4 linked regions of the Alligator mississippiensis genome follow. The protein of the gene in region 1 interacts with the protein of each later gene in a pairwise test. Links are inferred from orthologs where the notes say so. Each region holds a gene or a part of one and is shown in the gene's direction. Other genes may lie near its edges. The genes, in order: AMOTL2, NFIL3, GCC1 and BRMS1L.

Region 1 (7,738 bases):
AGATGCTGCAACAAGGGGATAAGGACTGTCGCGTAGACCTAGAAGTTGGCAGCAGACTGTCAGCAGTCTGGGAATTACAGTCTGAGCACCACCGCAGCAACAAATAATAGTTACTTATTGCTTATAAGTCATTTAGGGCCAGATTGGCAAAAGGGCTCAGCCCCCAGCATGCATTGAGCATCTGGAGCTCTGCTGAAAATCTGGCCACTTATTTGGGTGCCTAATTGGAAGCTGAGCACTTCTGAAAATCTGAACAAACTGCTTCCTATTGCATTAGGTCCCTTATTCATTGCTATTTCAGCTGAGAATGTGAAGTCCCTTTAAATCCACTGCAGCCCCCAAGCATGCATTGACATGCACCCAGTGCTGCTCATTTGAAGAGACCCTTTCCCCCACATATTGCATTTTTAAAGAGCTGCCTGCATTTGATTCACTGCAGCCCTTGCTCTTGCATAATCCTCTCCACTAGTGCCAAGTGCTTTAGCGTGCTACCAGCTCACAATGGCAGCATTTTACACCCTCTGTGCATGAGTGCAGATGATTTCATGAGATGACAGGGACAGCTACCTTCCGCCTAGTGGATTTCTCTCTCTCTCAGCTTCCCCTCATAAAAGTGAATTTCTACCAGCCCCATATTGAGAAAAGCAGGCAGTGAAACCTCTGATAAGATCATGCCAGATAGGATCGCTCCCCTGGCTAATGGCGTCAGTGTATTCCAAACCCCTTCCATTATTGCCTGGCAGTTGATTCCCTGTCACGATTACATCTGTTGAGCTGTCTCGTTTCCATAGGGAACAATGGGAAGCTAAAAGGAGAAAGGGTCCAATTACCAGGCTGAGACGTTATTGTGCAGAGGCTGGGCTGCATGAAGAGAGCATGCAGCTTTCTATACAGCCAGTACTGCACATTGTGCTCAGCGCACCTGCAGCTGCTGCAGTGTTGCCCGTGATGACTTGTAGCTGGAGGCCAAACAGATGGAGGGAAATGGAAACCTACTCTGCTGAGTACAGGTCAAACACGGGCTCCTTCCCCCTACCATCCCAGCCTTTGTCCGTGGGTCACATTGTGATCCAGCTCTACCTTGCTTCCCAGCTGTTATTGTTCCAAGGAAGGCCCCGGGGGAGGAAATTGTTCCTAAAGTGGCTTGGATCAGCACCTGGCCCCAGCCAGTGCAACCTCGGCTGGGAAGAGGAATCAGCAAGTCTGAGCATAGCTCATCTAGGATGGTTAGGGTCTGATGAGGCCAGATCCTGAGCCAGGGGAAATTTACCTGAGCTATCCTGATTTACATCTGTCCTGTAAATCAAGCTCTATTTCCCCACCCTCATCACCTCTACTGATTTCCCCCTCTAGCTGGAGGAAAGCAGGGTTGTCTGCACAGGGGCAGGTCCAGAAGAAAATGGTCTGGTAGGCCCCAGCTGGGTCAGCATGTCAGCCATGGGGATAGCACCACGCCAAGGGCCATGAGCACAGCTTGGCTGGCATGCTGTGCCCTTTGGAAGCTGTTCCACAGCCAGGAGTTTTAAATGCCAGTCCATAGCGCAAAAAAACATGAGCAGTGCCTGAGTCAGCCATGCTGAACACCTGTCTCCCGACATGGTTTCAATGCCACAGGGCCTTTCATTCACATTCAAGGGCCTGCATGGCAGGGTGATGGATTTCTGTATGTGCATAACCCCCCTCTCTTGCTTATAGTCCTCTCTCCATTCATGAAGGACTCAACCTGCTGCTCCCTTTAACGTGACATGGAATTACAGATGCAAAGTGAAGGGAAAGATAAAAATCTGTCTCCTTCAGTGTGTCTTCCTGTCTGGCCTGCCACATCTGCCGCACTCCCTCTATCCTTCCTGTCTCTCCCCACGAGCTCAGTATGATAGCCTGTCATAAAAGGTATTCCTCTGTCCAGGGGAGCGGACAATAGCAGTAATGAAAGAGAAAGGGGAAACATTCCCAAACGGCCAAGGAATGGTCAGGAAAGCAAGGAGAGTTTCTGCTTCTGTGCCTTATAACTGGCCATCACCTTTCAGATGGGGGCAGGGAGTGAAGGGGAAGCGAAGAGGAGCATTGGGAGTGAGCGTGAAGGAAGAGCAGATGGTGAAGGCAGGTTTTTATCAGGCTTGTTTGGTATTAAAGACAATGGTGTGTCTCTCAAAGCTCTGATTAAACAAGGAGATTTATTCTCCTGGACAGCTGGCAGGCAGAGTCTTAACACCCCCTCGGCAAACACCCCCCAGGCAGCCGCAAGCTCCCTGCCACCTCCTCACACACAGCAGGCACCCCACCGGCAGCTGCAAGCTCCCTGCTATCTCTTCCTTCACAACCCACACAATACCTCCGGCCCCAGGTTCAGCGCAGCTGCCTCCCGCCGCTCCTCAGACCTCCAATACAAAGCTCCATGTGAACAATGCGAGTGCACCTACTCCTGCCTTGGTCTTAATCTCCATTCACAAATACGGACTCAGCACCCCATCCACCAGCGTGCAGTTTTCATGGACAGACACCAGTCCAGCAGTCAGTCCATTGACTCATATGCACACATCTGACAGCAGTGCATGTTCTGGACATACACACACACAACAAGCTCCTAGCAGAGAAAAACCAAGAGCACAAGTGACTTGAGTGTGTAGCTTTCCCTTGTTGCCAGCTGTCATAAATTTAGTAGTTCAAGTCTCACCAGAGTTCAATTTTCTCAAAGCCCCAGCTCCTGGAGTCATGTTATTAAGTGAAAATCTCAGTTTTTCCATTAAAAAATAGGGAGTTTCCTGCCTTGCTGGTGAAGATTGAAGTTTGGGCAACATACAACTTAGAAGCTTGGAAACCAAGAGACAAATAAAAAAGATCCCCAGACATATTAATATTGCATTTTTAAACTTACTGTTTTTAAGCAAGTCTCATGAGTCACGTGGGCTGAGATGGTTCTTGTTTGTCAAGGGCAACCCCTGCTTTTCAACACTCATCCCAGTGAATTACCTTCTGGCGGTATCCCAGTGTTGCCAATCCTCATGATTTCATTGTGAGTTTTTGAATGAGGCAAGAGCTCACTTTATTATCTGAGGCCTTACTTAGGAAGAAAATGGTGCCTGTCACAGAATCATAGCAGCACCGGGGTGTCAGCAGGGACTGCTGATTACCACTTTCCAAACCAAACCCCGCTCTTCATACAATCCTTGTGTCCCCAAACATTCCCCCACCCAGGTTGACATTTCTGGGACACAGCTGATTGGGTTGAATGGTTGTGTTGTAACTCATGCTGCATTAATGTGACTCCTTGTTGTCTCCTCGTGGCTACTCCAAGAAGTTTATGAATTAAGTGGGGAGGGGAACGTGCATTTCCAGATAAGCGGTATTGATCTGCAGGCCTGAAACTCTTCTGTCCCAATCTTCTGCTCACCTGCCATAAAACTTTTGGCAAGTTGCAGCCTGTCTTCATGCCTCTGTTTCCCCTCTTAAGCACCTGTCTAGCCTGCCTCTTTAAATGATCAGCTCTGCAGAGCAAGGACCATCTCTTTCTAAGTGGACGGCACCTGATGGGATTTGTCCCTGGCTGCTCGTGCCACAGCAAGAACAATGCTGCCTGCACCCCGCACAGGGGGTGGAGATGGCCACTGCAGGGAAATAACAGCTGCAAGCCAAGCCGATTAGGCTTGAGATGCTTCTTACACTAAACCTGCTGCCTCCCTTCTCAGTGACTACACATATGGAGGGTGCGAGGCCGCGATGTCGACTGGGACATCTCCCATTTTGCTTGCTGCCTGCAATGCTAAAACCCTGAAGGCAGTGGATCCCTTCCCCTGATACCTCCCAGAGAGAGTATGGATGAGGAGATCCAGCACAGGATTCACTCTGGCATGTCTTTCTTCATCTCCAATTCTGGTTAAGACACCAAGATCCAGGTCTGTGGTGCAGTCATCATCCCCTCTCCCGTATGGATACGAAACATGGGTGACTACCACTGTCACCTCAAGAGCCTGGAGAGGGATCGCCGACACTCCCCCACATCACCCAGGAAGATGGCCATGCCAGTGCCAGCGCCAGCATCCCATTCTTGCTGGGCCTGCATCACCAGCAAGGAGTACTGTGGCGGGCTGGGCTGGACCTTGTGCGCAGATGCCTGACTCTGGACTCCCAAAACAAGTGATCTGCTTGTGGCTTAGTCCTGGCCTAGTGGGCTAGGGTGGCCATCAGAGAGGACAGTCCGGTTATTCTCTGTCCTGTATTGATACGAAACCGGACGCCTGTATGTCTTCTATTTTCTCTTGAAGAGAAAAACAGGACATAAAGGCGTTGGGTGCTGTATCAGTTGACGGAATAGCAGAAAACCAGACTGTCCTCTGTGATGGCCACCCTATGGTGGGCAGAGGTGGCACAACCCGGCCAGGCAGAAGGCAGACCTCCAGACAAGGTGTGCTGGCGGAAAGACCAGGGACAGCTGGCTGGCACCCGGCCGAGCCTCAGCCCAGCGCCAGGCCCTGGAGGCAGAGAGGGAAGGGGAAGAAGAAGGGGAAGAGGAAGAAAGGAACGAAGGAAGGGAAGGGAGCGAGAGAAGGGGAAGGAAGAGGAAGAAGAAGGGAAGGGAAGAGACAGACCCGCACCCGTTGCCCACACCTCGTCCTACACCCGCAGCCAGGCCGAGCCGAGGCCGGTGGGGGCTCCGCGCGCTCCCCCTGGCGGGCCCGGCGGGCGGGGCAGAGCTGGGGGCGGGGCAGAGCTGGGGGCGGGGCCAGGGCCGGGGCCGGGGCGGGGCGGCCGCATTCCGGGCATAGCTGTCGGCTCGGCCGCTCCGCGACGCTCGTCTTGGTCCTGGCTGCGATGCGCGGGTGAGTGCGGCGGGCCGGGGCCGGGGCCGGGGCCGGGGCCGGGGCCGGGCGGCTCGCCCCTCGCCGTGCTTGGAGCCGGAGCGGGGTGGGTGGGTGGGCGGGCAGGCGGGCCAGGCCAGGCCAGGTCAGGTGGGGTCCTCGCCCACCTCCAGGGAAGAGCAGCTTGCAGGGGGAGCTCGGGCGGAGCCGGCTTCGCATGGGACGAGAGGCGGGGTGAGGCCGGGGCCCGGGGCCCTCCGTGTCCGGAGCGCGGGCGCACGTGCAGCGGCCCGTCTCGGCGGGGCTGGTCCGGCTGCCCTTCCTTCTTGCCGGCGAAGGGTCGGGCCGCGGGGGGCGACACGCCGTAGCGCAGCCGAGAGATGCCACATCAGAGACCCGCGTTTGGGAAGGTGTTGTTATTCGCATCCCTCCAGCCGGGCAGTATAAATAGACACATGCTGTTCCCACTCTGCATCCTGGCGCTTTTGAGTCCACTTCTCCTGTTTGCGCACCCGGTGTTGCAATGTTTGCAAACATAGCTGGCGAGGTTTATTCGTTTTGGCGATTAGAGTCTCTGGAGATGGTTCACAAAGTGTCTCGTGGGTGCGTAATGATCTTGAGGTTTGTCAAAGCTTGCATTTAAAAAGGCTAATTTATGGTCCGCATTTGACAAATGCCTCTTATACGAAAGTCCTTGTGTTAGGTGGACTGTAACGTTTGTCCTGTTCTGCTGGTAACGCAGGGACAAGGCGTAGCATGCACTGGCATGCCTCTGGGTCTGCCCAGCACAGCCCGGTTCGGTGCAGGCAAGAGCACGTCTTTCACTGCAGTTAATAAAACCTCTTCCCTGCCTCCGTTATCAATACTTCAGTTTCCCCGAACTGCAGGGTCTGTTATTTAAGGGGATGAATTTGACTCGACCCAGCAGATGGACTGGATTTCTTAGGCAGCAATCCCTGCTTTTCCCTGCCGTGGTTCTCTTTGTTACCTAGCCTTTGTGTGCATGCGTGTGTGCACCTGCAGATAGATGCACCAAATTCAGGTGTTTTGACTAGATTCCCATGAGCACTTCTTTCCAAGGTGGTAAATACAGCTGTACAGACTATTTGCAGTGGACCGCCAGTGCACTGTTTGTGCTTCAAGTCCCAGGGAAAGCCAGTGCGCCAAGGCTCTGTGTAACAATAGGAAGCCAGCGAAGTTCCCCATAGAAGTTCCCTGTTTAGCGACATTCCTCACTCCCCACCCAAGGTCACCTCTTGAGCAAGCTGAGGTCAGGACATTTTGGACAAGATGGGATGTAATGGAGCAACGAGCAGCTGAGTAGAGTGCCGTTCTGTAAGAGAAATGGGTTCCCTTGGAGTTGAACCTGCATGGTTTGGTCTGCGTCCAGCATCCACAAGGCAGGCTGCAGTGCTTAGGACAGGAGCTGAAGCTGAAGTTCCCTAGGGCCTGGTTGTAAATGACCCCCCGCAGAATTAGCTGTGATTCTCTACTGGTCCCAGGGTATGAGCATATAAGCATTGCTCAGAATCCCTCTCCTCCCCATCGTACCTCCCATCGGATGTGACTAAAGGAGAGGCAGTTTCTTTCAGGGCCAGAATGCTGCAGTGGTTTTCTGGAAAAATGCAACTGTCTGAAGATACTCTATGAAAAAAATGTTGCTTCTTGCCTGACTGCAAGAGCTGTCTTCTAATTTTAATTTTCTTCTCTTGCAGGCTCCTTGCAGTGGCCGTTTGCTGCTAGATCCGTGGGACTGTATCATTTCTTCCCACTGGGAGCACTGGTTGCCGATTGACCAGCCAAAGATGAGGACAGCAGAGGATTCCTCTGGGACAGTCCTGCACCGGCTCATCCAGGAGCAGCTGAGATATGGGAACCTTACAGAGAACCGCACGCTGCTGGCGATTCAGCAGCAGGCCCTACGTGGAGGAGGAAGCAGCAGCAGCCCTCGCTCTTCCCTGGAGAGCCTTACACAAGAAGAGAGCCATATGGTGCAGCAGTCTACCCGGCAGGAGCCCCAGGGCCAGGAGCACCACTCCGACCACATCTACCTGGAGAACAACCTGTACCGGCTCTACCAGCCCCAGCACAAAGGCGAGGAGCTGCCCACCTATGAGGAGGCCAAGGCCCACTCCCAGTACTACGCCTCACAGCGAGGGGCACAGCAGGCTGGGGTGGCCAGCTCAGGGGCTTACACCGAGACAGGCCAGCGCAGAGCTTATGCTGCCGACAGCAGCAGCAAGCGCCAGGACGAGTCCCTGAAGGATCTGAAGCATGGTCACGTGAGGTCGCTGAGCGAACGCCTCATGCAGATGTCACTGGAGAGGAATGGAGCCAAGGCCCAGAACCACATGAGTTCCTCCCACAGCTATCCCCAGCTTTCGAGGCACTACCAGCTGTCTGCTCTGAGAGGCCAGCATGCTGAGGGGATGGAGCCACGGGGGCCCCCTCCAGAATACCCCTACATTATGCCCTCCCAGGAGCCCTCGGTCAGCTACCTGGCAGATTCCAGGCCTTGCTCCAGGGATGGCCCAGGGTATCAGCACCCTGAAGTCAGGTAACCAACAGCATGTATATTGCACCTCACCATCTGCAACAGAACAGCATGCACTACCAATTCCTGCGGTCCTGGGGGCAGTTAGTTGCCGTAGCCCTGGAAAAGACGAATAGAAAAAGTGCTGGGTAACTTTCTGCTGAACCACATGGCTCCCAGGAAGTACCTTGGCCGTTGCCTTCCAATGCATTCTCATGCCCAAGGCTTTGTGCATAAGCAGAGAAAGCCAAGCCTTGCAGAATAAGGAGAGGAGGCAGGGACTCTACTGTCTTCTGCTAATTGTGCCAGTCCTCACTTTCCCCCAGTTCTATGGATACTTTCCCAGATCTGGAAGTGCTGGCAAATGTGGAAGGGCAGAGAATTTGGGCATTTACTTTTTATCATGCTT
Region 2 (7,739 bases), on another chromosome or scaffold:
CTTGGTGCTTTTTTTTAATGTACTTTGTTTCTGGCGTAGGTCTTTAAAATACAACTTGTAATCTACTAACTTCTCCTCTGGAGCAGGACACGTTCAAAAACTGATCAGTGATCAGTATGAAACCTTCTTATGCACTTAACTCCTTAGGTGTATAAACATTTTAGTGAATAGAAGTTTGTCTGCGTACGTTTTTTAGAAGCTGAACCTCATATCAATACAAATTTAGTAGTGTTTAGAAATCAAAGGTAATACTAAACTACCTAGAGGCTGTATCCCCAATTAATACCATCTTTTAAAAATACAGGCCCAAATTAAATAATAGTCTTAATTAAATATTTCCTTCAATTTTACAATATATTACGCTGTTAGGAACTATTTTACTCCTAATTCTCTCCAAGGTAATCAATATTAGCAATATTAGTTTCTGCTGTATGATGAATATATTAAAAGGCAAGAGATGAAATCCTATCCCAACTGAAGTCAGTGGGAGTTTTGTGTTGACTTCAGTGGAGTCAGGAATTCACTCAGAGTCAGATTCATATATTACATGAAAGATAGAAGTTACATGGGTGCAAGTGGGTGTAAAGGAGTCAAAGGACTTTTAAAATAGTGCCAGAAAGTATCATTTAGCATCTCCCATCCTCTGTTTAATTGCTTATTTTACTATACCTCTTCTCCTCTGGCTCCTCTGGTAAGCTGAGTCAATTTTCAAGGAAAAGGCGCACATGTATACAAGTAAATATGGTACCTTATTCACCAAGATGGGTGAAGGAAGGTGTAAGTCATATCTGCTTAAACTTGCATGCGAATTTAGCTATGGGTCTCTATGGCCTATCCAGCTCATCCTTTCCCACAGAAAAATCAAAAAGCTCCGAGTCAGATAATTATAGTACAGTTCCCTTCATTTAGTTCATCCCCACTGCATGGTGTGTGTGTGGAACTGGTTGTCAGGTTCAGGCAAGATTTTGGTGGACTTTGATGCAGACATAGAAAGCCTGGGCTATTCACTTAGTTTATGGAGCTAGGTTAGGTTATGGAGCTCAGCAGCAGTACCATTGAGCATGCAGCACTGTTCAGTTCAGGCTCTTCCTTAAAATGTGAGTAAAGTGCTTTGAGAAACGTAACTAACTAATGTTGCTGAGTAAATGGGGCAGTTAGCTCAGGTCCAACCATGGCACTGTGTGGACACAGTTATACCAGTGCCGGTATAGAAGGCAACCTGTTTAGAGAAGCATGGCATGCTTGAGGGTGGCACTTCCGGGCACAGTAAGTTTTACTGTGTAGACATGGCCTTAAGCAGCTAAGAAGGGTATCTACAAAAGCAAGCAAGCTAAAGTGAGGAGATCCATAAGATAGCTGATAGGAAATGCTGGGAAAGAAGAGCCATAATTCACTGTGGAATGTAAGCACCAAATCAAAGCCACAGAGTGATGGGAAACCATTATGGGAAGCTGGGAGGCCAAGACTTGCCTCTCTTCCTAGGCCACCAACCTGACCTCAAGAAGGGTGTCAGGTTGTGATAGTCTTCTAGTCTTAACTGCTGTTCTCAGACTTCTAAGGACCTGGTCCAAATCTTTCCTTTCCTGGTTCTGATCTTTTTTTCTACTTCTACCTGAGCTGTTTTTTGGAGTTAAGTGCCTTACGTCAGTTTGTTACCAGCTGCCTTCTTACCCCTAGTCAGAGTAGAGACTGAAACTCAGGTTTCACCCACCTTCAAATGAGTGTCTTAATGATTAGATCAGAGAACCATCCTTATACACACTCCTCCAGTCTCTGATCAAATTAGTATTAATGATGCCATGAAAAGCAGAGCAGTTTCAGTAGGAGGGAGTGTGAGAGGACCCCATCTGAGAATATCGCGGTCTGCATTTACCCAGGTGGTGGTAGAGGTGGGCTCAAATCCCTTGCGGTAGATGAGGGCATTGAGCCTGTCTGGATGAGTGCACTAACCACTGGGCTTTTGAGTAAAAGAATACTGCTCTCCCCAGCTGTGTTTTTGGCAGTCCTATCTGAGAAGGTCTCCTGGATTGGGCACTGTGAGTAGAACAAGCAGAGAAATGCCTAGACTGTAAACCCTGACAGGTACTGAGCTGCACAGTATTGTCAAGATCTAGGTGTTTCTCAGTCTGCCCTGTGTGCCTCCAGGGTTTTGTTGCCTAGATGCATCCAAGGTTAGGCAGCAGCTGAGCAGGGTCTACATTTTGGAGTAAAGAGCTAGGATTTACTTGCTTTAGAGCACTCTTCCAAGATCTCAAGAATCTGATTTATGGAGGAAGGCCCTGTGCTTATTCCTAGAAACAGAAGAGTTCATAATATTCTTAAATGCCCAGAATTCATAGAAAATTCTGGAAAAGGAATAGGTTTTTTTGCCAAAGACGACTCTGTGTAGATTTAATCTTTGTGAAAGATGCCGGGTTTGACAACCCTTGGAAACTTTATTTCTTCTCAACACTTCGTGAAGCAGCAAGAGTAATACTGGCAGGATATGCTTCCCCATATAGCCCAGCCAATGTGCCTCTTGCCCCTGACCTACTCTGAATACTTTAGTTGCTATGCTTAAAAAACCTCATTTCTGAGATTTCCAGTTGGGTGCTATTGGCTTTAGTAGTTTCATGATGCCTGGCAACTGTGAGTGAGAGAACCAAGGTTATTTCACAGCCACCATGTGATATTAGGTCCCTCTGACTTTTGCTGTTTATGAACTAGCCATCTAGAAATATTCTAGACCGCATATTGTACTCGTTAGAAAAATAGAAGCAAGAAAAAAGGAACTTGAGCAAAAAAGTTTGCATAAAAAATAGTCTTGTGCAATAAATAACTGGGGACCGGGGGGTAAATATAAATGGGTTGAAGATGCTTTGATATTTTGCTGAGGGAGGGTATGGATGAATGTGACAAGAGACCAGGGAAAAATACTCAGTGACCTTTTCCGATTTCTAAATTTGCATGATGCTAAGAATGATTTGGATCAGGCCTAACCCCCCTGAGGAATAGAAAAGATGACAGAATAAGAGGGGAAAAAAACCCTAATATTTTAAAAGAAAAAAAATCTCAGTAGAATGAAGTCATAAATCATTTTTGGTCTGGAAATACAAGTAAAAAAAATAACAACTGTCTGTTTCTTGTCTTGGGAAAACTACCATTTGGGGGAATAAAAGGCAAAACATGTGATAACCCCATTGTGAAGGGGGAAGAAAAAGGAGAGGAAGACATTGTGTCAGACACTTAATCAAATGTGTGTAAATTCAAACACATTCTGAGAGGAGAATTGGATTTCTAGCTGACCATGTGTCATTTTCTAAAATGGAGGTTAAACAAAGGTCAGACTCACACCAGACTTTCTTATTTAATCTTTCTCCTTTTAGTACCCTGGGAAAAGAGGTAGAGGTTGAAGGTTTGACAAATGGGAGCCAGTAGGCAAGCAGTCTCTCGGAGACATGGTCTCAGAAGTGGAGGGGGAGAACACCCAGGCGGGAAAGGGAGGGGAAATCTCATGCGCGCTCTCAAACATTTCTCCACCACTGAGCATTTGATGGCTGGCATTCAGTCGGTGGGAGAAATATTCATGGAATCCTTCATCCTCGGAGATATGGAAGAGAGAAGCCAGCAACAGACTCGTGTGTACCATGCGTGCTTTTGGAGCCCAGAGTGGCAAGTGGCAGAGCCGCAGGGGACACGCCCAGGACAGAAGCAGTGTCTGTTTAGCAGCCTTTTTCTTTTGACTAGTCCGAGACTGAGTGGGATGGATGGGAAGCGGTGCTGGCTAGGTGGCAGATATGCGCCGAAAAAGACCCTTCTGGGACTTGTGCAAGGGCTTGCGAAGGACAGCTTCTCTGTGGGAAGCCTGGTTTCCTGATGCTGTTTTTTTATGGGAGGATGGAGTGCCGTCCAGCCACATCAAGGCAGGCACCAGCTTGCAGCGTGGCTGATGCCCTCACCCCAGTGGCTCACACAGTGCGGCGCGACCCAGGGCGGGGTTTGGCTTGCGCTCACATGCCAGCCTCGGTTGGCCTCGCGGCAAAGGTGCCTGCCCCTGCACACACACACCCCCCTCCACACACACATGCACGCAGATCTCTGCACATATGCACACATGCCTGTACACACGCGCACCTGCACGCACACACATGTGCACACCTCCACACATGCCTGCATGCACTCACCCCTCGACACACATGCGCACACACACCCCTCCACACACGCCTGCACACACGCACCCCTCCACACACATACATGTGCACACATCTCCACACACACACACACACTCTGGTCTTTCCATACACACACACACACACACACACACACACACACACACACGCTCTTAAGCCTCCCTCGCCTCGCTCAGCCCCCGCGCCCTGGGGCCGGGCCGGCTCCTCGCCCCCCGCCTGCGCGCAGCCCGCTCTGCCCCGCCCCCCGGCGCCGCGGCCGCAGCTCGCAGCGCTGCCCGGGGCTGGGCGGGGCGGGCTCGCGCGGCAGTACCCCCGGCTGGTTATGCAATCCAGCCCTGGCCCTACTGTACCGCGCAGCGCCCGGCCGCGGGGGAGGGGTGTGTGTGTGTGTGTGTGTGTGTGCGTGCGTGCGAGAGTGGGGCGGGGGGAATTCAATTCAAGCCTGGTCCTGCCCCCTTCTCCCTCCCCCCCCCCCGCGGGCCCAGATTGGTTGCACCCGGCAGCGCCCAGCCCTGATTGGGGCCGGGCCGCTGCCAGTCACGGCACAGGCTGGCAGGAGCCCCGTGCGCTTACAGACAGTATTGACCTACTAACACACATCCCTCTGCGCGTCGCACAGGCGGCGGCAGGCGTTTCGGTCCTGCCCCGGCCTCGGCACAGGCCCCCGCCGCTGCCCAGCCCTGCTCAGCCCAACCCGGGGCCCTCCGCTCGCCCGCCCGCCGCTCCCACGAGCTATGAAGGTAACACGGGGGGTCCTTCCTCCGCGTGTTCGCGGCCGCCCCGGGCTGGGTTGAGGCGGCGGCTGGGCGGTTGCATAAGACGTGTCGCTCCCGGGCCGGAGCGCCGCTCTGACAGCGACCCCGCTCGCGCGGATCGGAGATGGGGATCTGCCGCGGGTGCGGCCGATTGACAACGCGGGGGTTGGGGTGGCTAGGGCACAGCGAGGAGGGGCCACAAAAAGCCTGGCTGGGACGCGGGATCGGCTGGGTTTTCGGCGCTTTGTTTTCCTCCCCCCCCCCCCGCTTTGAATCCCGGAGCCAGCCCGAGGGGGAGGGCGCTGGGACTCGGCTCGTTCATCCTCCGGAGCGAGGTGCGTGGGGCGCGGGCAGGGATCCGTGCCGCCGGCTGCCTGCTCTGTTTTCATGCGTGAAATGAACACGCGCCGCATCCGCTCCCGCTCCCAGCGCATTGTGTTTGCCAGGGGTTGGGGTGTGTGTGTGTGTGTTTCCCCCCCTTGTTGTTGTTTTGCTCCCCCCACTTCTGTCCCCGTCCCCAGCCCCTGCGCCGATCGCAGGATAGTTCCTGGAAATGTTGCATTATGTAAGCGCGGCGCTGGCGGGCGGGCAGGGCGAGGGAGCGGGGGGCTCGGGGCGCTCCGCCGCCGCCTACAAAGACGCGGGGACAAATCTCGGCCCCGCTACATGCCGCCGGACCAGGCTGGGGAGAGGAGCGCTTGGTTTTGTGCCGCTTTCGGAGTCCGCTCCCGAGGCAAGTGGGTAACAGGGAGAGGGAGGGAGGGAGGCAACTCGTGCTGGCTTTTGAATGTGTGTCAGGTTCCTTCGGAAGAAAATTGTGCTTGTCTATATTTAGCCCCGTCGCCGTTCAGCAATTGTGGCTGCGGTGTTGCTATTTCTGGTCTTTTCTCCAGCGCTGCTGTTCAGGGCTGTTTGCTGGGGGGTGTTTTGCCTCGTGGCTGGGGCTGGGGCGGGGTGTTCGGGGAAGGCGCGGGCTCCGTGGGGGCTGGCGTGCACGGACTGCTGTGCGCTGCGGGTGCGCTTGGCAGGGGGCGCGGAGCGGCCCGGTCCCGCGCGGCGCTGCCGGGAGCCGCGTCCCGCGGCGGCGGTGTGGCGCCGCGGAGCTATGTAGGTCAGTATTACGTGCGCGGGGGGGCGCGAGCGCAGCACTCGCAAGGAGCCCCCGGGACACTGATTTCATTTCATTTCACCCCGGATGCAAGATTGAGTCGGGGAGGGGAGCCGAGCATTGCCGCCGGCCCCCAGCTGCTCTACAGTCTTGCATCTTTCCTTGAATTGCGAAGCCTGCAGGACTCATTTTAAACTAAAATCAAGGGGGGGGGAGGGGCAGTGAGGCTGTTTCCAAGCACCAGGCCCCCACGGCGGGGGTTGTTCCGCGGGCACGTTGTGTTTGTGCCCGGTGCGGTCGGGATCGGGGGAGGCGCGCCGTGCCGTGCCGTGCCGTGCCGTGCTGCGCCGCGCTGGAGGGAGCCCCGGGCCGAGGGCGGCGGCCGTGCCGGGAGTGGGGGGGGGCGCTGCGCTCCGCTCCGCGATCCTTTGTTCTGGAGCCGGGGGCTGCTGGGAGGTAGCGCGGAGCCGGCGGGAGGGAGGCGGCGCGGCCGGGCTGGGGAGCGGGCGCCGTGCTCCGCGCCGCGGGCTCGGCCCGGCGCAGGGAGGGATGCGCCCCCGGTCACGTAGCGCGTGTGCTCGCTGCTGCTCCACACGGAGGGAGGGAGTGGGAGGCTCCCGCTCCCTGCGAGCCCAGGAGGCAAGGGAGGCTGTTGAGCAATCCAGCCCACTCCCACATCCCCCCCTCCGTCCGCCAGCCACCAGCCTTTGTGCCTCGGCTGGGCAGCTCCCTCGCTCCTCCGCTCCTCTCCCTCCAGCACGGGGTGTCTCTGAGAGTAGAGCCCCGCTTGTTCCGAAGCATCCAGCACCCGCTCGTTACTTCGCCTGGGGCTTTTCGGGCTGCCTAGGAGTTCCTCCGGACACATGGAGAGGGCTTCTGTGTTTTTCTCCACGGGCACACTAGGTTCTTTGGATAGATGTGATAGCCTTTATTAGACCAGCCAACTAGTTGGAAAAATTGTTCTTTGCAAGCTTTCGGCCACAAACACACTTCTTCAGGTGTAGGGAGAGTCTGCAGTGCCTGAAGAAGGGCGTTTGTGCCCGAAAGCTTGCAAAGAACAATTTTTCCAGATATTTAGTTGGTCCAATATAAGATATCACATCGACCCAGAGAATGTAAAAGATATCCCATCTTTTATATACCCAGATATAAAAGATATCACATCGATCCAAAGCACCTTGCTTGCCTATGTCCTTAGAGCCACATCTGTAGACCAACACGGCTACAACCAACAGCTCTTTTGCCACTGGGGTTATTTTTGCCAAGTCTCCTCTCTTACTTTCCTAGGCCTAATGGTTGTGAACCTTTCACAGGCACCTTTTCAACCCAGTGGCCACCTGGCCTTGGAGATGAAGAGATGTTAGTGCCAACTGAAGAATTGTTATGATGATGATGATTTTACAGCATCTGGTTTAAAATCCCCGTGGCTCAGTAGCTGTTCTAAAGCATGCGGAAGTTAATAGGCACTTTCTGTTGAATTCAGCTGGCTCTGGGTGAAAGCTAAGCTTTCAGGCTCTTGTGATGTCAGTCTTCAGTTACCACAGAGTCTTCTCATATAGAAAAAGCTATGGATGTCTCATATGTATGTATGTATGTGTGTATATATATGTATATGTGTATGTGTGTGTGTGCGTGTATACATATACATATATGTATGTATGTGTGTGTGTATATGTATGTATATATGTGTACATATACATGTGTTTG
Region 3 (7,675 bases), on another chromosome or scaffold:
CCAGGCGGGGACGCCGAGGGCTGCACCGAGCACGGTTACAGCCCCACAAAACCTGGCGTGTCATTAGAGATGAGATACGACCGGTAGAAAGAGGGAGCACTGCCAGCAGCCGCAAGAGCTTCACCTTCGTGCAAGGCAGGCCGTTGATAAGGGAAGCTGAAGGGGTCGTTTTTGCAGGGACGGGAGAAGTCAGGCAGTGATATTAAGGAAAATAAGGCAGAATCTTCTCCGTGATGTGCTACAAAAGAAATCCCAGCCATTGCTGAGGTCTGAGGGATAGTAACGTTTTCAGTCGCAGGGGAGAAACAGCAGAAATATTCATTAAAAATCTTTCTCTTTGCTCACCGGCAAGAGTCTGGATGTCCCATAACAGAAAGCCCCCGCTGGTCCAGTAGCAGCTAGTCGGGTGTTGGACAACAGCATTCCCAACACGGCAGCTCTAGCTAGCCAGAACCCAAGAGTTATAAAGGAATTGGCCGAGATGAGGGCCGCTTGGAGTTCATGTCTTGCCTTCACATTATGCCTTCCAGGGAAGCTGATGGTGTGTGAGAGGTGCCTGGGGCAGCTCCCGGAGCCTGACCCGAGCTATGCGGGCGAGCAGGCCAAATCGAAGGGTGAGACCACGCACCACGGGCTCTGGGAGCAGGAGGCTCCATCCAGGCTCCTGCCGCTCTCCCGGCTCAGCAGCCTCATCGCCGTGGGCCAGTGATAGTGGACGGGCCTCGGCTCCGGGCAGCCGGGCTGGGGTTAGCACGAGGACCGGGCCGACGCGGCAGCAGCTAAGACTTGTAGCTCCTGTCTGAGAATCCCGAGCATCATAAATATATCGCGGCGGGGCAAGGACCTTCAGGCCAGTAGCGTTGGGTTTCACATGCCTGGGGAGGGGGCACCGCGTGCCCAGCCTGCCCGCGACCCCTTGAGGCACATACATGATGAGGGAGGGAGGGCACTGTCCCTGGTATGAGCCTCCTGTGCCTGCCTCCACCGCCCTGGGCCCCACTCAGGCCATGGTGAGGACCCCAGGGACCACGCGAACCCCACCGGGATCTACGTTAGTGTCTCCCGCACCGAGCCATAAGCACAGGCTGGTTCCTGGTGCTCTGGGGGCTCCCGTGCCCTTTCTGCAACCAGAGGAAGCCCCTGGCATCTTCTGCCTCTGTGGATGCGTTCAGGGGCAGGAGGTGCTGGCCGGAGCTCTCTGCTCTGCGTCCCCTGGGACCCCCGGTTATTATCCTGTCCCCTGCACGTTGTCCGTGGTATTTGTCGCTGTCCCCCAGGCACGGAGGTGCGGGCTGGCAATCCCACGTAGGCCCAGCCTCACCGCCAATATAATGCATTTTCACATAGGCAGCATGCACCCTTTCCCCAAAACCCAACTGCTGCAAACAGAGGGGCATGTTATACGCGAGGGAATATGGTAACGGCAGTTTCTGCTGGGTGAAAGCAGGAGGAGCCCTGCCCGCTTGGCTCCCTCCCGCTGCTGCTTCCTTCTGCCTCTCAAAAACCAGCTGTGGCTCTCACCCCAGGGCGTTGTTTGCTGGAAATTACGGTATAGCACCTAGGCCCGTCCTTGCAGTGGCAGGACATGAGCAGCCCCTTGCACCACCCGGGCTGGGTTGGGGGGTCTGGGATAGGGGCAGGTTGGGGAGGTCACCCAGCCCCTCCGCTGCCCCCAGGGTCCCTATGGCAGCAGCACGTCCTGCTGGAGCCCCAGGGCACATCCCAGCAGGAGGTTTGGCCCGTGGTTGTGCCAGTGGGGAGCAGCCCCTGGCACCTGGCAGTGCTGAGCTGCGCACCCCCAAGCCCGCCGGCTCTGTAGGAAGTAGTTTGCATGGTGCTATGCTAAGCGGTTGACTACATTCCCACCATGCTTTGTGAGTTAGGGGCCTGTAGCCTCGGGGCTCTTCACCTCCTTTGATTCCAGGACCCCTTGGAAAATGCCTGGAGAGCCTTTCTTGCCTATGGGAAAAAAATACTGTATTTTCTAGCATACAACATCCCCCTCCCATAAGATACACCTTGTTTTTGAAAAGCAGAATGAAGGAAACCACCAGCCTTCTGTGGGCACGGGGAAGGAGAGGGGAGAGCAAAACCCTCACCGCCTCTGGATGAGACCCTCGGGTAGCTGGGGTCATGCTGGGGATCCTCTCCTGCCTGTGGGGTGCTCAGCCCCAGGACGGGTCCTGTGCATGAGGCAGATCAGGGTGCAGCTGGGCTGGGTCCCTGTTGCTGCTGCCCCCCCACACCCCATGCACCCCCTTTCCCAGAGCTGCATTGAGGAGGCCCCTCCAGGGGCACCCCCACGCCATTCCTAGGGGTGGGCTGCGATTTGCAGGGACAGGGGCATCTCCCCCACATCAGGGATGATCATGGGGATTTCCCAGCTTCTGGCCTTTACTGGTTGCTACATGGGTCCAGGAAGGAATTTTTCCCCCTTTCTGCTGTTCCGTGTGTTCCTCCAGAGGCGCTGGGAGCTGCAGCCCAGGCTGGGGATGGACTGGGCTGTGCCAATGCTCCTGCTGCACCCACGCTGGAGGGTCTTGCCCCCACGCTCAGGCTCAGCCCCAGGCTGCACTGGGGCAGGAAGGGATTTCCCCCCTGCTCAGACTGGTTGCACTGGGGGGTTTCCCCTTCCTCTGCAGCGGGGCACGGCCTCGTCCTGGGCTCTCTGCAGCAGCCATGACCCCCTGGCAGCAGTGGGATGTTGGCAGCCGCGGCCCCCCTGTATCCCAGGGGTGGGGGCGATGCCTGGGGCTGTGTCAGGGGTGACTGTGTCATGTGGCTCTAAGTTTGCACACGGGGTTTGTTTGGGGTGGGGTTGGATGGGGCTGATGCTGACTCAGGCAGGGCTTGGACTAGATGCGACCCTGCAGCTCCCTGCCAGACCCGCGGCTCTGGGACTCTGATTCCAAGTACCACAATACAGTTGACCACACATTAGCTGCTAACTGTAAGCTGCTTCACTCCCTCCCTCCCACAACTGCTGGCCCGGAAACTCACCCAGGGTCCTTCCAACGCATGCTCCACAGCGAGCAAAGGCTTTGGAAAGCCAGGTCCCCCCGGGCACCTGCTAGGTCCATGCAACAGCGCAGGTCCCAGCACAGATTCCTTCTTGCTCCCACCAAAAGCCCCGTTTTAAACAGCAGATAATCGATTTTGCCCCCGAGGCTGGTACACACGACTGGTGCACGCAGCGGGCAGGTCTCCAGGCTAATTTCAGACCAGCTAATACAGGGAACAAGAATAGGCATCCAAGACTTTAGGACCTGGATGCGTTAAGATTAAATTGCCTTCAAATCTTGTTGTGCCTCCAGAAAAACATGCTTCTTGTAACTTCTAATCTGCACTTGCCAGGCCTTATCTGTGCAGTTCGAGCTTTTATATCTTTTGGCGATTGAGTTTGCTATTAAAGATGTACATCTTTGTACGCGGAGAGTGTTTAATGTGGTGGGACCGGTTCTTCAAACACTTCTTGGTTTTCAGAGCCCATCTGAGCTCAACGTCCTGGCGCGCACGCCTGCAGTCTTGTGAGCTGGCCACGCTCCCCACCCTCCCGATTGGGCTGGGACAACGAGGGCTCTGTGTGCGGGCGCCACGGTCGTCCCTCCTCGAGCGGCGCGCCAGTCCTAGAGCTACGGCCCGTAATGTTTTTGCTCAGTTTATTAATCCCACGTTCAAACTACAGCTGGGTTTCCTTTGGCAGCAGGGCTTTTATGGCACTCTGGCAGGGAAGCACGAGTCCCACCGGACTTGGTACAGACGCCAGATCAAGGGCAGGGCATCATCTGTGGGTCTAAAGATGGCCAATGAGGCCGATCCAGGATCGAAAGGCTCTGCCGCAGCTCGGACACGTGTTTCCGTGCGGGGCGGGCGGCTCCGGGCTCGTGGCTCGGTCCGTGACGCGCTGTTTCTGCCGCTCCTGCTTTTCCATCTGCTGTTGTGGCGAGGCTTCAAAGCACCGAGCTGCCGGCAGCCGGCTCCTGCTCCGGTTGGGCCGTCCTGGGCAATCGTCTCCCACGAGCTGCTGTCGATGCCGCCTTGTTCCAAGCTGGCCTCGAAGACGTCCTCGAAGCGCTTTCTCTCGCACGCGCGCCGTGGCTGAGCGGGGGGAATTAAGACTTGCTCTGTGGGGGCTGGAGTCAGACACCCGGATGACGCTGCTGGTCCGGCCACGCTGACGTCGGATGATTGTCGCCGACGCTGTAACCCTCCGGCCCACCCTGCCACCCCCTCTCGGCCCCACCGTCCTGTCCAGATCCACCCCAGGGCCTAGGCGTGTCTGCCCGCGCTCTCCCACGGTGCATGCCCCGTGTCCATGTGCCATAGACCCCCGCTCCAGTGCCCCATACACCAGGCCTCACTGGCTTCGTGCCCCACAGCCCTTCAAAAGCCCCACAGTGTATGCCCTATGACCCTGCAGCTCCATTGGCCAAACCCCTTTGCCCCAGAGACCCCAATGCTCCCCAGCTTCAAGGGCCCAGCCCCACGCCACGTGGCTCCCGCCTCTCCCTTGTTGACACTTTATTAGCAGCATGAACACAGCTCAAGTTCCGGGTCCGGGAATGCGCATGCGCACGCCGCATCAATAAAGCCTACCTCCCTCTCGACGCATGCGCAGTCCGAGAGCCCACCGGCGGGCCGCGATGCGCATGCGCCTTAACCCGCGAGTTTGCACCCCGCGCAAGCGCGGGCGGCCCCGGCGGGGGAGGCGCGCATGCGCAGTGCGTCTGGGCCTACATGCGAGTCTGCAGGTAGGGAGCGGACACTGTCGGGGCTAGTTCCATCCGGGCACTTCCGGGGTCGGGTGACCCCTGACCCTTGACCCCTGCCTCTGGGGTGGCACCAGGCCCGTCCGAGGGGCACGTGCCCTGCACCCCGGGATCGGGCCCCCCCCCCCAGTGCAGCCAGGATCGGGCCCCCTACCTGTAACGGGATCGGGCCCCTGCGCGCGGTGCGTGTGCAAACGGTGACGCGCGTGTCCCCGTCCCAGGGCGCCAGAGCAGAACCGGAGCCGCGGCGCGATGGAGAAGTTCGGCATGAATTTCGGGGGCGGCCCGAGCAAGCGGGACCTGGCGGAGACGATCGAGTCGCAGAAGAAGCAGCTGCTGCAGTACCAGGCGCGCCTGAAGGACGTGGTGCGGGCCTACAAGAGCCTCCTGAAGGAGAAGGACGCGCTGGAGGCCAGCGTCACGGCGCTGTCGGCGTCCCACGAGGCGCACGGCGGCCCCCCCGCCCCGGCGGACGCGGCGGACGACGGCAGCTCGGTGCACAGCGAGGACAGCGGGGGCACGGCCGCCAGCGCCGACACGGCCGCCAGTTTCCCCAGCGCCAAGGGCGAGCTGGGCGCGGAGGAGGAGAGGGCCGCCCCGCCGAAAGCGGAGGAGGCCAGCGGGTCGGAGAGCGGCGTCAGCACCGGCAGCGCCGAGGCGCCGGAGGCCGACAGGCGGGTGCTGCAGCTGAAGACGCAGCTGGCCACCTTGACCAGCTCCCTGGCCACCGTCGCGCAGGAGAAGTCCCGCATGGAGGCCTCCTACCAAGCGGACAAGAAGAAGATGAAGCAGGACCTGGACGACGCCGCGAAAAAGGCGGAGGAGGAGCAGAGCCGGCTGGAGGCGGAGCTGGCGGGCGCCCAGGAGCATCTGGCCGAGGTCAAAGCCCGCCTCATCGCCCAGCAGCACGACCGGGCGCAGGAGCAGGGCGACCACGCCGTGATGCTGCGGGAGCTGCAGCGCCTGCTGCAGAGCGAGAGGGCCGCGCGCCAGGAAGCGGAGCTGAAGCTGGAGGAGACCCGGGAGGCGCTGGCCGGGCGGGCGTGCGCGGCCGACCGCGCCGAGACCTACGAGCTGCACGTCCGGCGGCTGCGGCAGGAGGTGGAGGAGCTCCAGCGGGAGCTGCAGGCCGCGCGGGACGAGAGCGGCAAGCCGGACCCCCGGCTGCAGACCCTGCGGGAGGAGATGGGCAGCCTCAAGCATCACTTCCAAGCGCAGCTGCTGCAAGAGATGAGAAAGGTGGCTCCGTCGCTCGTGCTTCGGCCGCCCGCTTGTAGGAGTGGGGCGGGAGCGGGGTTGCAACGCGGTTCAGGCGGTAGAGACCCTGCATCTCGTACCTCCCAAGCGAGGTGGTGCTCTCTCCTACCTTTCGTAGACATTTGGGCTGGAAGGGACACTGGAGGATCATCGAGTCCAGCCCCTTCGTCTTCAGGAGGAGACTAGGCAGATATTAGGCTGGGGTGATATGATCCCAGCACCCGTTCCTGCCCGGGGCTGGCGGTCGGATGTGGTGATCTGTTTAGGTCCCTTCCGACCCTAAGTGCCATGATACTATGAGTAAGAGATTTTAAAAAAACAACATTTTCTGTGTTAGCGGCGGCCACCCTGTGGTACGTGGCAGAACAGGGAGAAGGCAGCAGAGCAGCAGATCAGACAGGAAGCGCAGGGCTGGGAGCGGAAAGCAAAGCAGCAAATTGTGCAAGGAGGACACTGAAGGAAGCAGGAAGCAGAGCAGTGGATCAGGCTGGGAGCAAACACGCTCCCAGTGGTCTTTCCTGCCTACGTGCAGGGAGCTGGACCCAATGAGCTGTAAAGTCTCTTCCAGCCCCTAATAACTATGCAGCTATTAGAGCACTGGATTGGTCAGGGAGCACAAGGGAGGAAGCAGAAAGCAGAGCAGCAGAACGGGCATGGGAAGGGGATCGGAGCAGCGCTCGGGGAAGGTGTGGGGCTAACTTGTGGCCGAAAAGGCTGGCCCCGCACTGTGCCAAGTGAGAAGGACCGCCTGTGTCCTGCGAGGCTAGCAAGTCCCGCACAAGCCAAAGCACCCAGCGCGAGCGGGCAGGTCCCCAGTGGTCGGGTGGAGACGAGGGTGGGAAAGCAATCCTCGTGCCGTAACGTAGTGTCTCGGCACTTCCCCGTGGTGCTCGTTCTAGCTGCCCGCCCGGAGCGGATGCCGCGTCGTCCCGCGGCCGTGGGGCAGCACCTCGCATCTTGCCTTTGTAATAGGTTCCCAAATCCTAGGGCAGAAAGTTCAGCGCGGGCACCGCCGTGAAGGGGAAGCTACTTTTAATGTAGCTTTCTGCAGAATTCCCCATCCCTGACGTCGAGATGAATAACTCGGAAGAGAAGGGGAAAAGATTAGGGCTTTGCTCGCTCCAGCTTCTGGGCCTCGGCAGCTCCCCTTTTCCCTGGCTCCGTGCAGAACGGCTCGTGAGATGCACTTTGAGCGTGTCAGCCTTCCTGTGGCAGCAGCAGATCCGGCTGTGGGGGCCAGGGGCCGTGCCACAGTGAGATCCCGCACTTCTGTTGGTGGAAACATCCCAGGAGCGATGTGTCCCGTGCCCTACAAGTGAGAGTCATGGTGCGCTCAGGGATTTGGCCCACTGGCTAGGGGTTGAGCACCCCTGGGTTAAGTGGCTTCCTCATTTCTGCGGGTGGGGGGAGAGAAGGCTTGAAATAGCAGATGTGGTAGCAGAGAGGAGGGAGCTGCTCCGGCACTTGAACACAGAGGCTCCTTGCGTATAGTGAGGCAGTAACGAAACCCATCTGTGCTCTTCTTTCCAGACAGCCCAGGCAGAAGAGCAGCTCCGGCAGCAAGCCCAGATGGAGGAGCGGCGCGTGGCCAGCTTGGAGGGGCAGGTCTCCGAGGCGTCGGAGCTGCTGGGCACTTACGAGAAAGCCAA
Region 4 (7,292 bases), on another chromosome or scaffold:
GCAGGGGGGGAGCTGAGACACTTTCGCTCCCGCACGGCCGTGCCCATGGATCCCACGCGGGTCACAGGGACGTGCGGCCACCAGATCGCAGTGCTGTCCTGGCCCCAGCCCCGCGCTGTTTCCTCCACAAGATCTCGGGGAGCCCATCTTGCTCCCAGAGACTACACCCCGCCAGCCCATGGCCCCATCCCAACCACCCACCTGTGCGCCCTGCCCACGCAGGTCCCGGCACTGGGCGTGGGACAGGCGGGCCGGGGTGCCTGGGCAGTAGCGCCGGTTCCGACAGCCGCGGTTGGAAGGAGCGCTGCCGCCGGGGCTGCTGGGAAATGGAGTCCGGCTGCTGCGCTGCCCCAGCGCCGCTGCACGCCCGGGGGCAGGGGCAGCGGGACCGGCCGCACGCGCATGGGCGGGGCCAAGTGAACCTCAGTGGGCCGGCAAGACTGCTTTGAGGGCTGCATCTTACCCAACCCTGCCTTACGAGGATTTTAAATTAAAGGCAGTGGTCATACACCCCCATCTTAAATATAATATTAATAAGTAAAATGTTATGCCCTCTTCATTTTTTCTACCTTTTTATATCTCCATGCCAGAACGGGACACAGCACTCAGATACACAGTGTCACCAGTGCCGTATACAAAGCTGAAACCACCTCCATCATCCTATTTGCCATTCCCTTATTGATATATCCAAGGATAGCGGTCAAAAATTGATTTACACAATGCCTCCTTAATCTTTAGTCAGTATTTTTAGGATACAGTGCTCCAATTTGTAAATAAGGGTGTAGGTTGTAGCCGTGTTGGTCTCAGGACATAGGCAGACAAGATTCTTTGGGTGAATCTGATATCTTTTATTAGACCAACTTAAATAGTTGGAAAAAAAATTTTTTTTTGCAAGCTTTTGGGTTTAAAAACCCTTCGTCAGGCTGAGGATTTGTAAATAAGACCTATATTCTTTGGACCAGATATTCAAAGTTACTAAATAAAAAAAAAAAATCAACTGATACCTACACAAAATTGTACTATTCATGTTATGTTTGTCTGATAATTTCTTATGGGAAAAATAACTTCAGGCAGATTACAATTATAGATAGGGTCATAAGTATTTACATGTTGTTAAAAGTATCTGAATCTGTCATTAGTATTTTCCATATTTTTAGAAAACTTAACTTCAGGTATTTATGACAATATTAGTCACTACCATACTATCTAATTCCCTCACAATGTGTAATGTTTTTATGCTCACAATATCCTAACAAGGTAGAGTTGCTCTCTTATTCCCATTTTACGGATGATGAACTGAGGGGGAAAAAACCTAAGTAATATGTCTAAAGTCACACAACTTACAAATGTGCCTGGAGCACAGCACATTGAGCTGGGTTGCAGCAGCCTTGGCTGGCAGGAGGGCCAGGGGCGAGGGTAGGGAATCAGCCTACCAGCCCAGGGCTGCTCCTATCAGGTTCAATGTGCTCCAGAGCGGCTGTCTGGGGTATGAGGATGCTTCAGTGCAGTGCTAGCCAGCAGGCATCCCCCCGCACTGAAGCACCCTTGTGCCCCAGCCAGTCAGCTCAGTGTCTGCACGTGCGCTAATGTGCATGCCAAAACTCCGCAGCAGGGTAGGACTTTTATTTACAAGACATACCCTGCTAAGGAGTTTATTAGTTTCGTGTGCCCTAACAGGGTTGCACGTGTAGATGCTGAGATGCTTACTGTGCATTCAAATAGTCAACTGCAAAGTAAATGTCTCATGTAGATGTACTTTAGTAGTAATTTAATTTGTGGACTACGGTTCATCAGTTTGCAGCAATGGAATTTATACTGTGTTCTGCACCCACTTCCACTGAATTGACTAAAAGAACAAAAATGTAATAGAATGTAGCACTATCTGCGATGGAATATGTTTAGTATATACTTTGGCATCCTGTACATGGTTTATTTACACCAATGTAGCACCATCATAGCAAGCTTCCAGGATCTTTGTGCTATGATATTGATAAGCATAATTGCTAAGAATAGATGGGATAAATTACAGTAAATCAAGAATTTATTATTTTTTCACTGATGCAGCTATTTGCATGTACCAAAAATAAGTTCTCTCTCTCTCTCTCACACACACACACACACACACACACACACACACACACACACACACACACAAACACTTTTTAATGACTCTGTTTTGGCAAACAAACAAGACTAATATTTTATTGGTTACCTCAGAATAGCTGCACCTAATGTGGAAAAATTAAACTTAGTAATTAATCCCTAATAGTGAACAAGATTTCAAACAGTGACTTACAATTATAGCAATTTATCTTTCTATTAACCAAATCTGCATAGTACTATAATTACATATTTAACCATTGTCTGGTATGTTTCATATACGCATGCCAGAGCATAGATGCTTCTAATTAATAATAGTCATGAAAGTTGCCAACCTGTTCCTTAACCCTCTCTCCCTGGGGTCCCCAGCCAAATTCCTTCCAATTCCACGCGCTATGTCACAGCCTGTTTCCTTTGTGCTCCATTTTCCAGGCATGATGTGGAGAGATGTAAAATCTCTGAAAAAGCTAGATCTGGAATAGGAGCAAAGCTGCCATGTTAGCATGGTGCTGCATCCTGACTAATTAACTCCACCTTTCTGTTTCCCATGTTGGAGATAATAGACTTGAAATATTTTTTTTGTGGGGGGGTCAACTTGCACTTTGGGGGTGGAGGGTGTCAACCAATCCCTCGATACCTGCCTGGGTGGCCCACAGTTTGAGAACCATGGCTTAAACCCACCACTAACATATTAAACACTCTTCCTGTACAGATCACTTTGGGAAAAGAATCATAGAAAATGAGGGTTGGAAGGGACCTCAGGAAGCCATGTAATCCAACCCCACAAGAGCATGTGAGCAACGTATAACAAAGTCTAACTGTTGCTTTTTGCTACAGCAAAACTTGGGTTTTGTTTTGGTGTAACAGAACCTACCCACACCTAGCCTAAAAACTAAAAGTAAGCCTATTTTGTAGCAATGATTCTAGCACTATAAATAGTTACTGCCATTTTAACTCTTGTTCCAAAGCTTTCTTCTGAGATGTTGCCTATACATACCAAGAAATCAGCATCCTGTATAACATCATGTCATCCCACTCTTGATGGTCCCCATGCCAAGCAAGGAGACAGACTACTTTGTGTACTATTATGGACACAATCTGTAGAACTCAGCACTTAAATGAGACACAATTCTTTGCTTCAGTGGACATAACCACCTCCCGTCATAACATGGAAACAGTTTTGTTAACCATCTCTGTTCAATACAGCAACCCCTAATATGGCTGGAGGGCAAACAGAACAATCCTGGAATTCAGGCCTGTAGAACACAGCACAACTCAAGACAACATTGGTTCTTAGTCCTTCTTTATGTCTACTGACTATGAAATCCTCCTTGTTACCAAACCCCTCCCAGTGGTTATCGTCAGCCCTAGGGAGCAGACTTAAAGTCAGGTGTAATTAAAAACTGATATTACATCTACTAAGACAGCGGTGCCCAATCTTTTGGCTCCATGGGCCAAATACAGGCCTTGAGCTCAATTTGGCATGTGCCAGATCACAGCCCCAGCCCCATATTCTGGATCAGCCCTGCCAGCCCAGCCCCAGTCTTGCTTGTGCCAGATTGGGCCCGCTGCCCTGCCCCCAGCCCTGTGTGCGCTAGATCCCAACTGCCCCTCCCCTGCGGATCCAGGTCCTGCGCGGGCTAGCGCGACCCCTGTCACCTGCCCCGCGGGGCTCGGAAATTTGGCGGCGGGGGCTTATGAATTGCCCTGGCTCCCCGGTAGATGTCCGGAGCCTTGGGGAGCCCGTCGCGGACTCCGCGGCCGGATGCGGCCCGGGAGCTTGAGCACCGCTTGCACCAGGAGATGAAGAGAGGTCACGGGTCGGAGCAGGAGAAGAGGAGAAACCTCCGCCCGGGCAATCCTGCCAGTTCCGAGCCGCCAACCTCGGGCCTGAGGCTGGGACAAGGGCGGGGTCGTGGCCCGGGGCTGTCCCTCAGCCCAGCCGGCGGCGCCTCCGATCGCAACGGGCCGCCGCTCACTTCCCCTGCCCCGGCACGGAACCTCGGCACCGCCTCACTAGGGGCGGCACTACGAGTCCCGAGATACACCGCGCGCGGGCCAACCAAGCCTGCCGAGAGCGTGCGGGAGCCACCCACTCGGCGGGGAACCCGCCAATGGGCGGTGGGGCGGCGCCAGGGGGTTCGGCTGCGCCGGGGCAAGGATGGCGCGGGCTCATTGAGGAGGAGGAGGAGGAGGAGGGGCCGGGGGTAGCGGCGGCGGCGACGACGGGCGTGGGCACGATGCCGGTCCACTCGCGGGAAAAGAAGGAGAACAACCACGATGAGATGGAAGTGGATTACGGGGAGAACGAGGGCAGCAGCTCGGAGGAGGAGGAGACAGAGAGCTCGTCCGTGTCCGAGGAGGGCGACAGCTCGGGTAGGCGGGCAGCGCCGCGCGCCCCTCCCCCCTGCCCCGCGCACTGTGGGCGGGGCCGGCCCCTTCAGCCTCATCGCCTCAGCTGGCCGCGCCCCACGGGGGTCCCGCCCCGCCCCGCCCCGCCCCCTCCCCTCGGCCCAGGTCAGCCTCCCTTCTCCGGTCCCTTCCGCCCCGCGGGGAATGCCGCCTCAGGGCGCCCGCCCCGCCCCGGTTTCGGAGCCGTTGACGCTCCTCCCCGGGCCGATGCGCCGAGCGGCGCTCGCCCCGCCTCTGAGTCTGCTTCCGCCGGCTCCTCCCTGACTCGGTGTTGCCGAGGCGGGGACGCGGGGCGGGGGCGGGGTTTCAGCTCGGCTGCCCCGTGTGGGGCGTGCCCCCGGCTGTCCCGGTGTCTCTCGCGTTGGGTTTGCCTAGTTCCCAGTCAGAAACTATTGGGGACGGAGAGCTGGCGCTTAGCAGCGGTGCTCGAGGGCTGGGAGGTTGAGAACCGCTGTCCTGGCTTCCCGGGGAGGGAGGTATCCCGTCTCCCTCCGTTTCTGTGCAAGAGGCAGGCAGTTCCTTCCCTTCTTGCTGGGGCAAAGGGCAGGCTCCAGTCGTCTGAGAATGGCTGAGGTGGCCAGTGCTGCTTAACCAGATTGGGTAGCGAGTTGTTCAGGATGGTGCTGCCTAAATCTCTGGGGCTAGGGAAGTCCAGGGTCTCACCAGTGCGAGATCAGAGCTCCAATGACCATCTTAGTGAAAGGTGAGAGCTACTGCAGGGCTGGGCACGGGGATCCAGAGCAGACGGGGAAGGTGATTATTCCTGGCAAGCTCTGTGGAGCAGATATTGTTACAGCCTTGCTACAGTGGGGGATGCAAGTAACAGCCAATTTGCTTGAGTGAATGGCAACCCTGGGAAAAGCTGAAGATATATGATGCCTTCACTGATGTAGTGCACATTGGTGTGGCCTTACTCCAGTTCTTTCAGGGTTAATCATATGCTAGAGATTGGGCAAAGTGGACTCTGGGTGTTGAGGTTTCAGCTGTCTGATGTGAAAAAAACAGGAGCAGTCCGTGTAAATGTGTCAGGAAATAACAGCCCCCATCATTATAGTATGAATACAGTCATTATTGTATCTATCTGCATTACAGTTCTGAGAAATATTGTATATACTTGACTACCAGACAAGGATTTGTTTCCCCCAATCAGTATGGGGAAGAAAACACCTCATCTTACATTCATGTACAAAGAAACTGTATTAAGTACATCACCTAGCTATGAACTGCTACTAAAAGTAGTATGTGCTTTGTACTGGAAACCAACTATGTCATTAATTAAATATAGTCAACACTGAGCATGACTGTAAAACACTTTTTTTTTTTGGTAAAAGTATATATCTTTATATATACATAAAGGGGGATGTATGTGTGTGTACACATGTACACATACACACCTAGTCACTTTTCATCATTTATTTGTGCCTTCACCTACAAAAGAAAAACCTGTGCACCTATTATAGTATGTGTACCTGTGGAACCATGCTTTTGCACACCCGTCCACAAGGCTGCATCTCCCTTAAACCCACTGTCTCTTAGTCCTCTCCCTGAATACGGGGTTTAAAAACTCGGTTCACTTGTTATCGCTCTCACTGGAGCATCTGCTGCTGCTGTGCTTGTTGCTGCCTTCGAATCCAGTTGTCTCGACATCCTCTTTGCTGTCCGTTTCCCCACTTGAGGTAAGTCTTGGAAGATCCTGTGTCAGGTATCCCTCTGCCAGGTGGATTTGACTGTGTCCTCACTGTCCTGTGCTGCCAGTTGCTGATAGTAGTATGGGAGTTTGCTCAGGGCCATTTTAACACAGTCTGCCACCTCTAGTTCATGTGTCTGTACATCAGGAGGTTCCTGGATTTCCGCAGGGCGCTCCTGATGCAGGACATGAACTGATCGAAGCAGGCCAACGGTCAGGTGCCCGTATGGCGCTGCCTCTCTGGTCAGCTGTCTGACCCCTGTCGTCACTTTGCAGAGCCACTTTACCTTTTTTCACACCTCCTTGGCATAAGAGCAGAGCCATAGGAGGTGGTCGATTGTCTCAGTGGCTCCTAGGCAGATTGCCATCAGGCAGCAGGATCTCCCCGGCTGCCCCTTCCTATGTGTCCAAACCCTCACTGAAAGGGCTCGGTAGGTTACCAGCCAGTTCGAGTTTCTGTGGTCTTTGCACAGGCCTGTGTGGCAGATGCGCTCCCACACAGCTTGGCAAGCGTCGCCCGGGAGGAAGTCTACGGGTGACGATATCTCTAAGTCTCACCCCCCCCCTGTATCTTCTTGTGGTTGGCCATGGTGGGGCCTGCATTCCGTAGGCTGTACATGCTGTGAAGTTCATTCAGGATCTTGTAGAACTGAGGTGGGTCCATGAGCCACGGTCTCCTATTGGTTGACGTGAACGTCCCCCAGTGTCTCGGGAGGTGCCCTGCAAAATATCTCACAAGACAGGCTGTTTTGGACTCTGTGCCCATTGCCAGTTTACAGATCTGGCTTATGTACTTTGCCCAGAGGAACAGGAGGGTGTCTGGCATGGCCCTACCCCTGGCTCGTTTGACCCTATACAGATTCTTTCTGGCTACCTTCTTCCATGTGGAGCCCCAAAAGAATACACGCATCACTCTCTGGATTTTGTGGGTGATATGCTTAGAAGGGGGAAGACCAGTGTGGTGTACAGAAGTAGAAGCAACCCTGCTTTCATAAGTGCCACGTGCCCCCCCATAGAGAGGCAGTGAGAGTGCCACAGACCCAACCTGTGTTTTACCTTGTCCTCTGTCTTTTCGTATGCTTTCCTGCTGCTC

The links.
Region 2: the proteins of AMOTL2 (region 1) and NFIL3 interact in binary tests that used the Homo sapiens proteins (3 or more experiments, as listed by UniProt). The two-hybrid records come from large-scale screens. The link is inferred for Alligator mississippiensis from reciprocal best matches to the Homo sapiens genes AMOTL2 and NFIL3.
Region 3: the proteins of AMOTL2 (region 1) and GCC1 interact in a two-hybrid assay, tested with the Homo sapiens proteins (2 studies listed by BioGRID and IntAct). The two-hybrid records come from large-scale screens. The link is inferred for Alligator mississippiensis from reciprocal best matches to the Homo sapiens genes AMOTL2 and GCC1.
Region 4: the proteins of AMOTL2 (region 1) and BRMS1L interact in binary tests that used the Homo sapiens proteins (3 or more experiments, as listed by UniProt). The two-hybrid records come from large-scale screens. The link is inferred for Alligator mississippiensis from reciprocal best matches to the Homo sapiens genes AMOTL2 and BRMS1L.

The regions. Positions count from the first base shown.
Region 1 is NC_081830.1:30,769,887-30,777,624, reverse strand, and holds the start of AMOTL2 (angiomotin-like protein 2), read left to right. Parts: upstream 1-4,732; 5' UTR 4,733-4,817; intron 4,818-6,511; 5' UTR 6,512-6,601; coding exon 6,602-7,353; intron 7,354-7,738. UniProt on the Homo sapiens protein: Regulates the translocation of phosphorylated SRC to peripheral cell-matrix adhesion sites. Required for proper architecture of actin filaments.
Region 2 is NC_081826.1:212,579,392-212,587,130, reverse strand, and holds the start of NFIL3 (nuclear factor interleukin-3-regulated protein), read left to right. Parts: upstream 1-4,737; 5' UTR 4,738-4,909; intron 4,910-5,947; exon of another isoform or gene 5,948-6,035; intron 6,036-7,739.
Region 3 is NC_081827.1:2,260,435-2,268,109, reverse strand, and holds the start of GCC1 (GRIP and coiled-coil domain-containing protein 1), read left to right. Parts: upstream 1-4,675; 5' UTR 4,676-4,737; coding exon 4,738-4,751; intron 4,752-4,990; coding exon 4,991-6,008; intron 6,009-7,556; coding exon 7,557-7,675. Other genes in the region: Golgi-associated RAB2 interactor protein 1A, read left to right, coding at 531-709. UniProt on the Homo sapiens protein: Probably involved in maintaining Golgi structure.
Region 4 is NC_081825.1:257,108,187-257,115,478, forward strand, and holds the start of BRMS1L (breast cancer metastasis-suppressor 1-like protein), read left to right. Parts: upstream 1-4,275; 5' UTR 4,276-4,340; coding exon 4,341-4,476; intron 4,477-4,942; exon of another isoform or gene 4,943-5,196; coding exon of another isoform or gene 5,197-5,215; intron 5,216-7,292. UniProt on the Homo sapiens protein: Involved in the histone deacetylase (HDAC1)-dependent transcriptional repression activity. When overexpressed in lung cancer cell line that lacks p53/TP53 expression, inhibits cell growth.